2 linked regions of the Drosophila melanogaster genome follow. The protein of the gene in region 1 interacts with the protein of each later gene in a pairwise test. Each region holds a gene or a part of one and is shown on either strand. Other genes may lie near its edges.

Region 1 (8,097 bases):
GCTATCCAATATCCAGTGTTTACAATAGCTGTTCTTCTCGATCATAATTACTTATTTACTCTATTAGAAGGGCCTTGCTGCGGAATTCATAGAGAAATGTGCAAAATATCTAAATCTTTTGAAGCTCTCAGAGAATCTAATAAATACGTGTTTTTTGCTGGAAAAATCGCTATGCCTCAGGCAATTTCAAGGGAAATAACTTTTTAATTTACCTTACTCATTTCTTTAGCAAGCAATTATATTTGTTAAGTCATGACTAATATCACTTGATATATCTTGTGTTACGAAAGTGTTGATATGATCTCATAATTATTAAAAGTTTGTATATACAATTACTCGGTGTTCTAGATTAAAACTAATATTTTCTTGGGATAAAAACATATGGTTTGAAATTTAGTTATTGACTCACCCTCTCTTCTTCGCGTATCATCTCGGCGATTTCTGGCTTGATCTCCATGTCATCGTGATGGGATCCCACCGCCGCGCCGGCTCCACTTCCCGCCACTCCTGTTCCTCCAGTCGGAGCACTGGCGCCCGATCCACTGCCAGATCCTGCTCCGCCCGCTCCCGCTGCGCCAGCTCCGGCGGCTGCGGCTGCCAAGGCGCTGGCCATGGCGTGCGAGTGGGCCAGCTGGTGCTGGGCGGCCAGTTGCTGGGCATGATGGTGCATGGCGGAGGGGGGTGGCGGCACGATGGCGGCCATGTGGGGCGGAAGGGCGGACTGGACGGCCACGCCCCCGGGTGGGGAGTGCATGGCGGCGCCGCTGTTCCCATTGCTGTGACCTGTCGCTGTTGGTGCTGGTGATTTCCTCTGGTTTGCTACTGCATTCATGGCGCTGTTCCTGCCCTCCAAGGTCTGAGGATTGGGGGAGGCGAAGGGATTGCGCACAATGGTGGAGGTGGTCATGGCCAGGGGTTGGCTCTGGCTCTGTCCCGGAGTGCCGGATGAGCCCCTCTCCGAGATCTCGGACTCTCCGCCCTGAAGGGATGGACTTGGAGTGGCGTAGCTGCCATCCCTGGACCGCTTCCTTTGTCGCTGATTCAAGTCCAAGACTCCCTCGGGCAGCAGTCTGGGCCTCTTGGCCTTCATCTCCTCATCGGGATCGGCATCACCGTCCTGCTGCAGAATTGCAGTGGCCGAGGCCAGTTCCTCCTCCTCGTCCTCATCGTCGAAGGCGGACATGGGAAGTGCGGAGGCGCCTCCCTCGCCCCTGCCCGCACTGACCTCCGCCAGACCCCTGATCTTCAGGGTTTCGGCCACTTTGAGCAGGGGGTTTATCTGATCCTGGCAGACGTTGATCTCCCCCTTGTACATGAACTCCACCAGGGCCTTCAGGTCGGACCAGCTGACGTCCCGCATGATGATGATGGGGTGCTGGCAGGGATTGTCGTAGAACAGGGCCTGGAAGTAGGGTGAGCAGGCGGATAGCACCATCTTGTGTGCCTTGATCGAGTGGCCTTCGCAGGACAAGGTCACGTCCACGAAGGACTCGCTCTGAAGGAGTTCGTCAAAGACATTGGTCAGGTTAGACTGATAGTTGTTCCACCTCAGGCAGAACTGCTGCCCCTCGCCGCTGGGAGGAACTATTTTGCGCCTCGGCGGTTTTGTCTCTGGATTGGTTTTGATCTTGGTCTCCACGGGAGAGGATCTCTGACCGAATTCAAAGAGCGCCGATCCGGCTAGCTTAAGATTTGGTTGAGGCTGTGGGGAAACTGGTAGGGAGCGCGACTTCTTGGCCTCCAGGCACATGCGCAGCTCGGTATGTTCGGGATCCCGGAGACCCACCACTTCACTGGAGGTCAGAGGTCGTGGTGGGGGAGTCAAAGCTTGGTCGTTCATCGGACTCGCCTTGGACTTCACCAGCTCCGTTTCCACATCCTTCTCGGGTGACTTGACTTCTCCAACGCTCTCCGTATCTTTTTGCATTTGATCAACCACCTCACTTGGATCCTGCAGAGTGGGTTCAACCTCCCTTTCGGGTGAGTACTTTCTGTTCTGGTCCTCTAGATGACCCAACTGGGGGGACTCTTCCACCATCTTAGGCTCTTCCGGTGGAGCCATTGTGTAGTCACTCGCCTCGAACTGATCGATTTCGCCGATCAGTTCCGACTTTATTTCAAAGTCCACAATCTGTTTGGTCATGTCCATGGTGCTGTTATAGAGTTTTCCTTCTTATCGGTTGTCTTGCAGGTTTTCTGCGGGATTTCTAACACATTTTCGGGGGCGAAACGAGAACTTTTCCTGGGAGCAGTTCAAAGCTGAAAGAGAGGAAAACTCACATGATTGTGCGAACGGGATTGACATATGTAACATACAATATATGGACAGCTAGTATGAAAGTCTTGTATACATTTAATTTGTTTCAATTAACTCGGAATAAGATATTTAACTGCCAATCAAAGAGAATGCTGGCTATAATATGGCTTTATCTTGTCTGCCACATTATTCCCCCTGCCAATCGAATATATTTTGGGATCTATAACGATAACGAACGTGGCAAGTGTTTTATTCACATCAAGCTGAATCAGCGGGCACATTTGTGCTCTTAGTCATAACTCTATTAAATAAGCCTATTAATCTTGCCCCATCTCCCTGCCAGTCGAAATTTCCATGAATTTCTATTAATTTATGTTTAGTATTTGCCAGCCACCAGCCGAACAATCGCCACCCACCACCCACCACCCAACCCCACCCACTGTAACGCCCAGGCCAGAAATGTGCTTTATTAGCTAAAAGCTAAGCACACATTTATTTATGTTTAATTTGGCTTAATTTATATTACTGAGCTGCAATTATTCGTAGTCTCCGCCGCTCATTGTTGTATTTATACGCACATATCTATATACATACATATATATATTGTATATATGCATATACATATATATTTATATATGGATGCGTATATAGCGGCTTTGTAAGTGTGTGCGCGCGATTATTGCTTATTTTGTATTGTTGTCTCTGGATACACTTGCATGCGCACAGCGCCCGTCTATAGATTTATATTTAATTAAATATTATTATTTATGGCAGAGCTCGGAGAGAGTGGGCCCAAAGTAATTATATTTATTTAAATATTTTGTATAATTTTAATTTATGTGTGTTTGTGCAGCACACTTGGGCTCGGTTCGCTTGGGTCGTTTTTGTCGGGGTGGAAAGTTGCTGCCGCCATGAAATTTAATTATATTTATTATTATTGTTATTATAATACTTCTTCTTGCTACTTTTTATGTTTATTATTATTTCATTCCAATTAAATCTTGCGGCCGCAGCTCCTCGGCGCCGTCCACAGTTATTATTTTTGTTTATTTTATTGTTGTTCTGGATCCGGATACGAATCCATGGACTCATCGTCGAGGGAGCTGAAGAGCTGAACAGCTGGAGAATTGAGGAGCTGATGAGCTACCCCGAATCCTCAGAGTTTCCCGAACTGTGGGCTGCGGAGGAAAATCGGTCCTACTCCTCTTCCTACTCCTGCTGCTCTTGGCAACTTTTGGTTTATTGTTATGGCCGCGCTCCGCCTTTTGTTATTCCCCTTATTTATTCATGTTTGTTGCTTTTATCGTGGCTGCTCGCATTAAATTTGATGATTCTTGGGAAAAACTCGGCCTCAAATAAATAAATAAGTAAATTGCCAAATGCAGAAGATTCGCACATCTCCAAAGTCGACACATCAAAGCTGATTTTATGATTATTCAAGATTTTCATTTATTTATTACCAAAGCCTGGCCTTAAATAAATTCAAAATTATGTTTTAGAATGAGTTTCAGTTTTTCGTGAATGTGGAAGCAAAAAACTAATTTTTTCCTTCATATACAATTATAACTGCTGACAAGTATCTGACTCGAAATCCTAAATACTTCAAACTCCCTGATTTCTTGCCTTTCCACACTCTTCTTTCCTGCTTCCTCGTAATATATTATTTTCGTTTAATTATTTATAGCAAGCGCAGCTGTTGGCAGCCAAAAAAATAAAACAGCAGGCAAGCTGGGCACTTTATTTATTTATTATTTCTGTATTTATTTATTTAATTCAGTCTCGAGGTTTTGTATCCTTAAAGTGGGCCCGCCCGCACACAAAAACGAACACAAATACACGTTGAGAAACGGGGGGGCGGTGTGCGGGCGCTCGGACACATTTATATATTGCATATTGTATTTATTTATTAACGCTTATTTATTATTTATGCAGCAAGTAATAAATTACAGTCTGGATTTTCTCGTGTTTCGCTCGGCTTTCGCTGTGTGCAAAATGTTTACAAACTGTTTTTGGCGCGTGCCACCCACTCGGAAAAGCGGGAGCTGTGGAAAGGCAGGAGCTGTAGGAAAAGTTGCTCCTTCGAGTGGGTTTTCTTCTTAATTTTCCTGGGCGCCCAAAAACGACCAAGCAACATTGCTTTTTACGACCTTTTCGCTGGGTGGCTTGTGTTATAAATTAATAAATTACAATTTCTTTGGTAGCGCCAAGGAAAATGCGCGGAAAATGTGCGAGGGGGTCTGGCGGGGATGGCATTTCCACTGGATAACTTATGTAGAATAGTACATGGTCGAGGTATAAAATCGATTTTCATTGCAGCCCAGTCATTTGTCATAAATAAAGCACCATAATTAATATAATAATCAACGCACACATACATTTTTCGTCTGGTATTCACTCGATGGGTTCACTTTTAGTTCACTTTCTTGTTTTATTAAATATTAACAGAATACTTGTGTTTATGTTCTGTTTGTTTTGTTCACTGCATGCAACACATGCTGTTCTGCTTGTCGTTGTTGCACGTCACTTGTTGTTGCTTTTGCTTTGCTGTCTTTGCTGCCGCTTCTGTCGTTGTTGTTGTTGTTGTGGGTATTATTGTTGTTGTTGCTGGCTTTCAGTGGCCGTAAAAACAAACGCTGCACTCCACTCACGCCGAAAGTCAGATACGAACTGAATCTCACAGATAAACGAACTGAATTTCAAAAAATTGAATGAAACTCGACGCCGCGCTGCCGACGTCAGCTGCGCTGCCCGCTCTCTCGCGGCGAATGAGAGCGCCGGCGTGGTGTTTTCCGGTTTTTGCGGCGAATTGGGAAATCGACAGAGCGGCGGTTTAAGAGCGAAAGTAAGTGTGCTCTTTGCTTTCTTTGTTTTGAATTTTCAGAGATCTTGCTTGAAAAAAAATTGAAAATTTCGAAATTTTTAGAAATGTTAGAAATTATAATTAAAATGAAATCGTGATTGTATAAGAGGAGAACATATTTTATTAATCTGGAATGCAATTGTTTTGTTATTTTTTTATACATTTTAGTACAGATTAATAGTTTTTTATTCGAATCATATTTCTCATCATAAAAAACATACATTTCACTACGATTTTTATATAATTGTCTAAGACCCAACGTTTCTTTTTTTTTTCGTTGTCACATAAATTTGCGAAAGTAGTTTTTACTATATCAACATACTTCATTTACAATTAAAAACGAATCATATTTATTATAATTAGTTTGAATACTTATTGAAATAAGTTCTCTTATTTATATAAATGCCATGCTTACCAATAAATCGCAAAAATCTTAACAAATCGCCAAAGCAGCATGCTAAGGTCGCGAAAAAATTGCAGCCTACACCTGCAACTTGAAGAGAATAGCAACAGCAACTTGCAACCTAGCTGCAGCAGCAACAACAACAGCAACAGCAGGGGCAAGAAAGAGAAACTGGCCAATGTCCAGTAAGAAAGTGTTTCAAAATAGTTGCCAACCCTCTTTCTTCTTCTTCTGCATCATCCTTAACCTCCTTGTTGTTGCTTTTGCTGCTTAGGCACAGAAACTATGGCAAAAAAGAGCAGAGAAAAAGTGGCGACAGCAACACACTCACAACTTGGCCACGCCCCTAAAAGTGCCGTAAGAGGGCGCGAGTGCGAGTGGGACAGCAAGCTGCTTGCTCCTACACACGCACACACAAGCCAGCATGAAGAAGGGGAGCAGAGCAACAACAAAAAAACGGCTGAAAGACGAGCGAAAACAAACGAAAAGCTTCGGCTGCACTCTCTTCTCTGCTTCCTCTTCCCCATGCTGCCCCGCGAAAACGAAAACTTGGAGGTGGCAACCGAAAAGAGCAAAAAAGAAAAGAGTACGAGGAAAAGCTGAAAGAAAAGGAGGCAAAGACGCAGCAAGTGCAGCTAGTGACGTCACGCGGTAGGCGGCGCCTATGGAAACGCATTTTTAATAGGAGTTGTTGTTGCTGCTATTGCAGCATCTATAGGCCGTTGTTATTGTTTTTTGCGCAGCCAATAACAACAACTAAAATAAATCCCCCTTTGTTTTGCGTTTGCCTGTGTGTGCGTGTGCCCGTGTGCGCTGTATTTGTGTGTGCTATTTTGTATATTTTGCATATTTTATTCCATTTGCCCTCTCTCTTTTTGACCTTTTTGGCATTCGGGCGCCTCCACGAGCCTCTGCGAACTTCGTGCTCGACGCCGATTGGCCCGACCACTCGAAATATATCTATATATATATATATAAATATATACGTGTGTGCGTCTGTGGGGGCCAAATACTTTTATATATAGATATCTGCATATATAAATCGGGGGTGCACACATGGGCTAAAAAACGCGTGGCAATTCGCAAATTATTTTTTGCGGCCTTCGTTTGGCGAATCGGCGGCAAGGTGCTTGGATTCTCCCCACTCTTTGAGGGTTCCCCTTTTTTTCTCGGGGCCTTGACATCTTAGGGGGGAATCCTTTTCTCGAAAATCCTACGCCTTTTTCTCTGATTAATACTGTCACCTGTCACCAGAATGTTTCAATGCTTATGTAGAAAGGAGAAAAGGAAGAATGTATTACTAAGGAGTCTTATTTATAGGATTGCATATTATGTGTAGTAGTTTTCTACATGTGTAACATGAAAAGATTTTTCAAATATGTTTAAACTATTAATATCGATCTAATTTTTTGAGTCTCAAGGCCGCAATAAAAACTTAAATAATTTATGCAGATCAAATTTAGTACCTGCGTAGGTAGCAGTGTGTTGATCAATAAAAACTTCATTTTATTGTTGATAAAAATTAGATAGAATTTGTTTTAGAATACGATTCGATGATGGATAAAAATAAAAATTTAAAATTTTCGAAGTTTCTCAATAAAAAATCTCGACAAATTTCTGTGTTTGAGAAGTCGAACTAAAAGAAGCAAGCATAATTCGCGATCGTGTCTTAAATAATAAACAATTTCAGAGGAGTATTTTTAAAAACTTAGCTTAGCATACACCTTTGCCTACCTATTTCTCCTTTCTCGATTTTTTTACTATTTTTTTGGTCAGCTAGCGAATTGGAAAAAGGGAAACGCGGCGGCTCTTTCGAGGCGGAAATGAAGGCCCTTTCCGCTTTGACAAGTCCGAAGACTTAGCCAACAGTTGTTGGAAAAAGAACGCGGAAAACTAACCGGTCCGCTGGGAAAGGAAACTAGCGCGCTTCCGTTCTCCAGAAAGGCTGCGATGAGGAAATTCAAAGTGAAATTATCGGAGTAGCGTGAAGAAAGTGTGTGGGCAGTGGCCGGGGCAACGGTGTGGAAACCACGCTAAAGGACCTTTAAAGGACATCCGCTGGCAAAGCGAAAGAGTTCAAATCTGCAGCCAACCAGCAGCCAGTGCTTAAAAAAAATACCGTCACACACTTGCAGTCAAAAGAGAAAGCGATTGCCAAAGAAATGGCGACAGGAAATGGCCAAAGCCACTGAAGGCCGGAGTTCGAAATTAGATTGTCGATGCTGCACAAATACCCTTAACAAAATGGCTAATCGATATCCCTTACATGGCATACAACATTGAAGACGAGTCTATCAACTCCTTCAAATCTTCTGGGATAAAAGTGTTTCATAAATCATTTTAACAAAAGCATCCATGATTGATCGATAGACCCTCTGAAAGAGGGCATTGATTTCAAATGAAAATATAAGTAAAGAGGCTCCTACCGTAGTCCACTGTCAACAGGAGCGGCAGGATCCAGAACGTGTGAGAAGGAGCTGAAAAAGGATGTGGGAGACGCCGGAAAATGGCTGGAAAGCCTTGCGCCTTTCTGCGGCCATCCATTAAAGTGGACAAAACCCCCTTATTCTTTGCCAG
Region 2 (6,729 bases), on another chromosome or scaffold:
ATAACCTATAGAATCTAGCGGACTGGACCAAAAGTGAGCCACCTTTTGACCGTGTTTTCTTTGAGGTGAGATTTGTATTACATTTTACTAACTTAAATTGCGTAAATCAATGTGACCTTACAGGAAACTGCTATATCGGATAGTCTGGATTGTATTCAACTGGTTTATTCAAGAAAAGTGAGAGTAAAAACTTAAACAAACAAAACGTTAACTTCAAGAATATAAATGTAAACAAAATTATTTTGTTGAACTAAATGCTTAGCAGTTGAGTTAACCTGGAAGATTTGTGCTTTTTTTTGGCCATAATTAGTTCTGAACTATTTCGCGGAATCAACCTTTTGAGAACTTAGTCCAAACTTAAGAACTCCTGCAGTTTTTCAATGCGAGTGGAGTAGCTATTTGTTTCCTCGTCGAAAGTGATTTCGCTGCAGGTGATAACGGACCCAATGGGATAATTTTTATCCAGCCATTTGATCTGCTCATCGGTGGGCTTCTCAGGCACTCCTACGAAAATCGAGTCATATAAATAATATAATTATCTTTGGAGAGCCTAATTACCAATTAAATCCAACTGTGTGGTCATTATAGGGAAGATAAACTGCGGCGGATAGGGACGTATGTCGGTGACATGTGTTGGCACTATGTTTCCGTAGTCAATGAACAAAATGCTGGGATAACCATCTCCTACTAACTCCACAGAGAGACCTCGACGCCATTTGCCTTCGTACTTAGCTATGCAAAGCTCATTTATCCTAAATGAAAGAGCGCTTTAGTTAAATGGACAAAAGAAAACGGCGAGTAACTTTACGGCGGTGCGTAGGTTGCGCACTTGGCAATCTTTTCACCATACTCCTGTATGTCTCGCTGCATTTTGGTGACTTCGTAAGCCAGATCTATGGAGGTGCAGTAGATAAAGCCGCACTGGATGAATGTGTTGTCCATTACCACTACATTTATGTTCTTTCCGCAGTGCAAGGGAATGTATGGAAGACACTGAAACCGAATAAATGCAAATGACAACTGTGTACTTGATGTTTTTTTAAGTTCTGGCTTACGTCCTCTTTGTATCCCAAGTCCGAGACAGACGGCTCAACAGGAGTTAGGATGGTCTTGAAAAGGCGGTTGAGGCTCCTATTAATATCGATCTCGGTCATCACCACGACCTGCATGCCCTTGCTGGTATCGTACTCACGTGACGAGTACTTGATATTAAAAACTAGGGACTGGTCGAGTTCGTACATGACTTCCCTTATGTTGGGACCCACAAAGCGCCTGGGAACTCCGCGTAATTTAACGGCTACGGGATAGCAGGTCAAACCAGCTAAATACGAACTGCATTCATACAGTCTTTCCAGCTGCGTGACTTCAACACTTCCGAAATCAATGAACACTACATAGATTTCCTTGATATTATCCACGTTTAGCACCATGGCGCGCGACATATGTCCCTCGAACTTGTAGAGCACAATTTGTCCGCAGACTGGCGTACTCTGCAGTTTGGAGGCATCTTTGCCCAGCATCATTACCTCCGTGAGAACTGTATAATAGGCGATGTCAATCTGAATGTCCGCCGAGCGCACATAGACCACGTTAGTCTGCTCGAATGCAGTAATTCTCACTTTAGATCCAGACGGCGGCAAGCCGGGTTTGGGGTACTTCCGGCCCACCTTTTCGTCAAGGTTAAGTATCTCACCCTTGCCGCAAGCTTGCTTATGCTGCTCTGCCACATCGGCGAAACAGGAGGCATTGCAGAAGGGCATTTTGCACAGCTTGCAGAAAGTGTCTGTCCAGTTTTGACAAACCACGCACTTGCTGACGCCGTCTTCCAGCAGGCTTTTAGTTTTATCCTCTTCGGTGACAGCAACCGTTGACCTGAGTGATGCAGAAACTATACTCGTTAGCTAATCAAGGGCACGTGACCAGGTGGCTATACTAACAAAGGAATCGTTCTGCCCGAACGAAAGTGCAGAACGACCTGCGGGATTCTGGTCTCATCCTTAAGCTTGTAGATATCATGGCGCTCCAGTGCGAATTCGTACTTTACATTGAGATAGCGTTGAATGGGGTCGTTGGTGGCCAACAATGAACCTCTTTTGTAATCATCTTTGGTGACCAGCGGTGGCCGGAAGAACTCCGGATGATTTTGTCCTCCGGTCGAGATCGGAACCTCTCTGTTGTGATTCACTGGCGTACGTTCAGTGGCCGAAATTGCTGGGCCTGGTGTTGGCATTGGCTCAGTGGAAGTCACCGGATCGCTGGTGATTTCCCGCTCCTTTTGCGGGCGACCAGTGATGCACTTGATCAGGTTCGGGTAACGCTGCACCCGCTGTTGCGCTGTCTCCAGGGATCTGGAAAAAGGATTATACGCTCGAAATATTGAATGACCTGCGAAAGTGCTTGAAGAAACTCACGCGATATTTTCAAAGTAGACAAAGTATACGCGTGACAAGCGGCGGAACTCCATCTCCTTGATGAGCGCCCGACCGAAGAAGTTGATTAGCATCTTTTCGGTCACATAGGGACTGCTTTTTGGAACCACCAAGTATGGATACTTCGCCTGCCTGGTGGCACGTTGCTCCTTTTCGTCCTTTGGCGGCAGCGGGGCTTCCATGATTAGTTTCTGGCCAGACTCGTTAGTGTAACGGTTGCCCACTTGGTCATAGTATTCCCTGGACATTGGATCGAATGCGGACCAATCATCCTGCGAGGATTCGGATTCCATTGCACCTGAGCTTTAAAATTTCACCTGAATTCGAATTGCAAGCGCGTGCGAGTGTGACCGTTTTCTATGCTGTCAGAAGTATGTTGCTATTGTAACTGTTGTTGAAGTCAGCAAACGGTCACACTGGCACTAGTGAAAAAAACCAAGCCGATTTTAAATATTGTAAACAATCTTGTAAAAACACAATAAAAAATGGTTAAAAACGAGCCCAACTTCGTGGTGGAGCGCATCATGGACAAGCGCATTACCAGCGAAGGCAAGGTTGAGTACTACATCAAGTGGCGTGGCTACACGTCGGCGGACAACACCTGGGAGCCCGAGGAGAACTGCGATTGCCCGAATCTCATCCAGAAATTCGAGGAGTCGCGCGCCAAGTCCAAGAAGCGCGGCGAGAAGAAACCCAAGTGCGAAGAGATCCAGAAGCTGCGCGGCTACGAGCGCGGCTTGGAGCTGGCCGAGATCGTGGGCGCAACGGATGTGACGGGCGACATCAAGTATCTGGTGCGCTGGCAGTTCTGCGACGAGTTCGACTTGGTGCCATCGGCACAGATCGTGGAGAAGGATCCGCAAATGCTGATTGACTATTTCCAGAAGATGGCACCTTACTCCCGTCACATTGCGATGCGAATGAAGGGCGTGCCGGAGGAGCTGCGTTTGGCGGCCTCGCGCACCAGTTATCCGCACATTAGCAGTGCGCCCGTCGAAGTGCCGCCGGAGGTGGATCAGTCCGCTGAGTTGGCTGGACATCTTGGTGGAATCGCGCCACAGGTGGACCAGGCGCCGCAGCACCATGCACCCATGGATCTAGCCAATGATACCGACGATTTGGCTAGTGTTTCGTACTCGATTCCCGTGCCCGGCGTTGGCGACATTGCCATCGATGTGCCCATGGCGGAAAATCAATAAGGACGCGAGCAGAATCGACTGTTCAGTCTTTAATCTAAGCCCCTAAGTTTAATTCATACATATGTATAGCTATCTGAAACCACTGGGTTCGTCCAGATTCATGTGACCCAACTGGCCGGAGCGAAAGAAGTGAATGAACTTTCGCGCGGCCGCCAATAAATTTGTCATCACCTCCACGCGTCCGTCGTACTGCTTGACCTTGTGGAATAGCTCCTCCCGATGAGCGTACTCCGCCAGCACGGCGCTGATGTCGTCACTGGGTCCGGAGCTGAGCTTTAGCATCTCCACGTAGTCGTATTTGCGGTGGCTATTCAGCCAGTACAGCAGATAGTCGGCTATCAGATCCTCGCCCACAATATGATCGGGAAGGCAGCCCACCAGGGCCAGTTTCATGCCCATTTCATCATCCTTAATGGAGGGCTGGAGGATGCCGGGTGTGTCGATCATGTAAACAGGCGGATTCTCTTGGATTTTGATGCGTTCGCCGACGGATCGAGTTATACCCGCCTCGGCACCCACGCGTGCGGCGCTCTTCTTCTTGAGATGCACATTTCGCAGCACATTGATCACGGAACTCTTGCCCACATTGGGCACGCCGATGATCATCAGATTGTGCTCGGCAGCTTGGGTGCGATTGAAGCGACTGCTCTCGCTCACGAGGCGCGTTGCCAGGGGCAGGATGTCCAGCACGCCGTTGTTGCGCTGATCCTTGCAGTTGGTGAACAGGATGTGCTGCAGTTCGGGCTGCTGTCTCCTCAGCTGCTGGAGCACGCTCTTCTGCTGTTTGGCGCCCAGCAGATCGACTTTGTTCAGCACCAGAATATGCGGTTTAACACCACTTCCTGGGGAATATGAGTCCCGTATTAAGTGGCAGCTTATGGTTGTAAACGTACTCACCGGTGATTGTGTCAAAGAACTGGGAGTTTCTGCCCGCCAATGGGATGCGTGCATCGTGAATCTCGACTATGCAGTCTACATTTCGTAGTTTTTGCTGAATTTGCCGCATACCCTTGGTCATGTGGCCGGGAAACCAGTTGATGCGCTGCTTGGACGGCAGCCGGAAGGCATTGCGGAATGGATTCAGCTGCGCTGCCATGATGCGGAATCCATGTAATGCTAGCGAATCCAAATCAAAACTTTCAAACAGCTGTTGGCCAGTGACGTAACAATTGACCCAGGATTGTGTGTGGTCACACTAGTGGGGGGAGTTGGCTGTTGGGTGTGGCAGCACTGGCTGATTTAAATTTGAATTTAAAATTAATTATACAGATTTTTATTTTTTGGTACAAAACTAAGATTGTAAATACTAAGTTTATTTTCCGCGGTACAGCTGCACCGCTTTCTTGTTGGATACCTCCAGAAGTCCCGGCTCCCGTTGCACTTTATAAGTGAGCAACTTTGCGTATTCCTGGAGCATCTTACTCCAATAGCACTGCACATCCTCCATTCGGAGGTGGAGCCAAATGAACTGCTGTCCCCGTTCCGCAATCTCCTCCGCCAGATCGTCGTGCTCGCGCAGATATAGAATCAACTCCGCCAGCTCATCCACATCGGCGTCGCTGGCCACGGGAACGTAATGCACCCAGGGTTTCAGTTGGCTGTAGAAGAACTCCTGCCACTGGTCGCCAACATGAAGTACCAGCGAGCGGCAGAGCAGTATGTGCCGCAGCCGGAAACTGGCGGCCACACCGCGAAAATTGAACAGATACTTAAATTGGCAGTGCTCGACCAAAGGCATCTTCTCGACGGGATCGGCATCCGTCGCTAGTATCGTGTACTGGGCATCAACCAGGTCTGGACGCCTTTGCGAGAGCCTGACTAGACTATCGCGTTCTGGCGAGGATCGTGAGCCCCTAAAGAAACCAATAGCGCGCTTGGCACTCCACGGCAACTCCGACGCCCTGGCCACCAAATGTTTTCGCATCCAGTCCCAGCGACCCACACCGTGGGGATAGTGCTGCAGGATGGGTCCCGTGGTGGTCCAAAACGACCATGCTGGGTACATGATGTCCAGGTGGCGATTCGTGATGGAATAGGAAAACACCGGACCACTTAGGCCGGATAGGAAGTGCACCTGCGGCCAGTCGCGCACATTGAGAACGAATTCCAGGTCTGCCACACCACTGGCCATGTCCAAGAGCAGATCCTCCACATCGGCACATCGCTTGGGATGCAGGCACTTCTGCTGGCGATAGATGCGTCCACGGATTATCTGGTAAAAAGTGCCCAATCGTTTGGATTGCGCCATCATCTCAGGTGTAATCCCCTTGTCCACATACGGTTCCAAATCCCTTTGAATGGTCGCCACATGGCAGAGGCATTTCGGATCACCGATTACGCAGGGTCGATGGATCGCCAGGGCGTGCAGGATGTGCGGCACAAAGTCGTAGCTGGCTGAAGGATACAAATCTTGAAAAGGTTATATTATATTATATTCTATATAGTTAACTATTTGAGTTTGGGTTGTGTTCGTTGACAGCGCATTTGTCCTTGGAGCACGAAACGCAAGTGCAGGAGAGGATTAGGGCTCCAACTAAAAAGCATATCCTTGGCTGGGTCATAATTAAAATTTAAAGAGAATTTACATATTTCTTCCAAATATATTTTAAACTTTGAGTCTTAAAACAAATGGCTTTCGATTGTTATAAAGATTGTATAAATGCTATATATATAAATAGGAAAATATTCGAGTTGTTCTCTAAATCTTGGACATCAAAAATGCATGGAATGCGGACAGAGAGATTCACGCTGCTCTAAGCAACTTAATACAAAATGAGAAATGCTTAAACACAATAACATTTCATTTCGCTACAGCTCATCCTTTTTAGGCCCTATGTAAATAAGTTGATCCTCCGGCTTAACCTCGTATTGCAGCAGCTTCACATATCGCTTGAGCAGCTTGCGCCAATAGCACTTGATGTCCTTCATGCGCAAATGCTCCCAGATGAAGTCGTATCCACGCTGAGCGATCTCCTGGGCCAGCGCATCGTTTTTCTTGAAAAAGGACAAGATGTGCTCGTACTCCTGCTGACTGGGGTAGCTCTTGAGCGGCACATAGTGCACCCAGGGCTTTAGTTGGTCGTAGAAGAACTCCTGCCACT

The links.
Region 2: the proteins of bab2 (region 1) and CG17141 interact in a two-hybrid assay, tested with the Drosophila melanogaster proteins (one large-scale study listed by BioGRID).

Annotation. Positions count from the first base shown.
Region 1 is NT_037436.4:1,172,349-1,180,445, forward strand, and holds the start of bab2 (bric a brac 2), read right to left. Parts: upstream 4,929-8,097; 5' UTR 4,633-4,928; intron 2,260-4,632; 5' UTR 2,150-2,259; coding exon 410-2,149; intron 1-409. UniProt on the Drosophila melanogaster protein: Probably acts as a transcriptional regulator. Required for the specification of the tarsal segment. Also involved in antenna development.
Region 2 is NT_033777.3:22,742,803-22,749,531, forward strand, and holds CG17141 (uncharacterized protein), read right to left. Parts: upstream 4,798-6,729; 5' UTR 4,725-4,797; coding exon 4,526-4,724; intron 4,471-4,525; coding exon 3,698-4,470; 3' UTR 3,644-3,697; downstream 1-3,643. Other genes in the region: CG6985 (uncharacterized protein), read left to right, coding at 12-65, 124-195; vret (vreteno), read right to left, coding at 347-504, 559-752, 809-993, 1,056-1,872, 1,938-2,348, 2,412-2,722; HP1c (heterochromatin protein 1c), read left to right, coding at 2,915-3,628; CG31139 (uncharacterized protein), read right to left, coding at 4,941-6,022, 6,078-6,189; rumi, read right to left, coding at 6,437-6,729.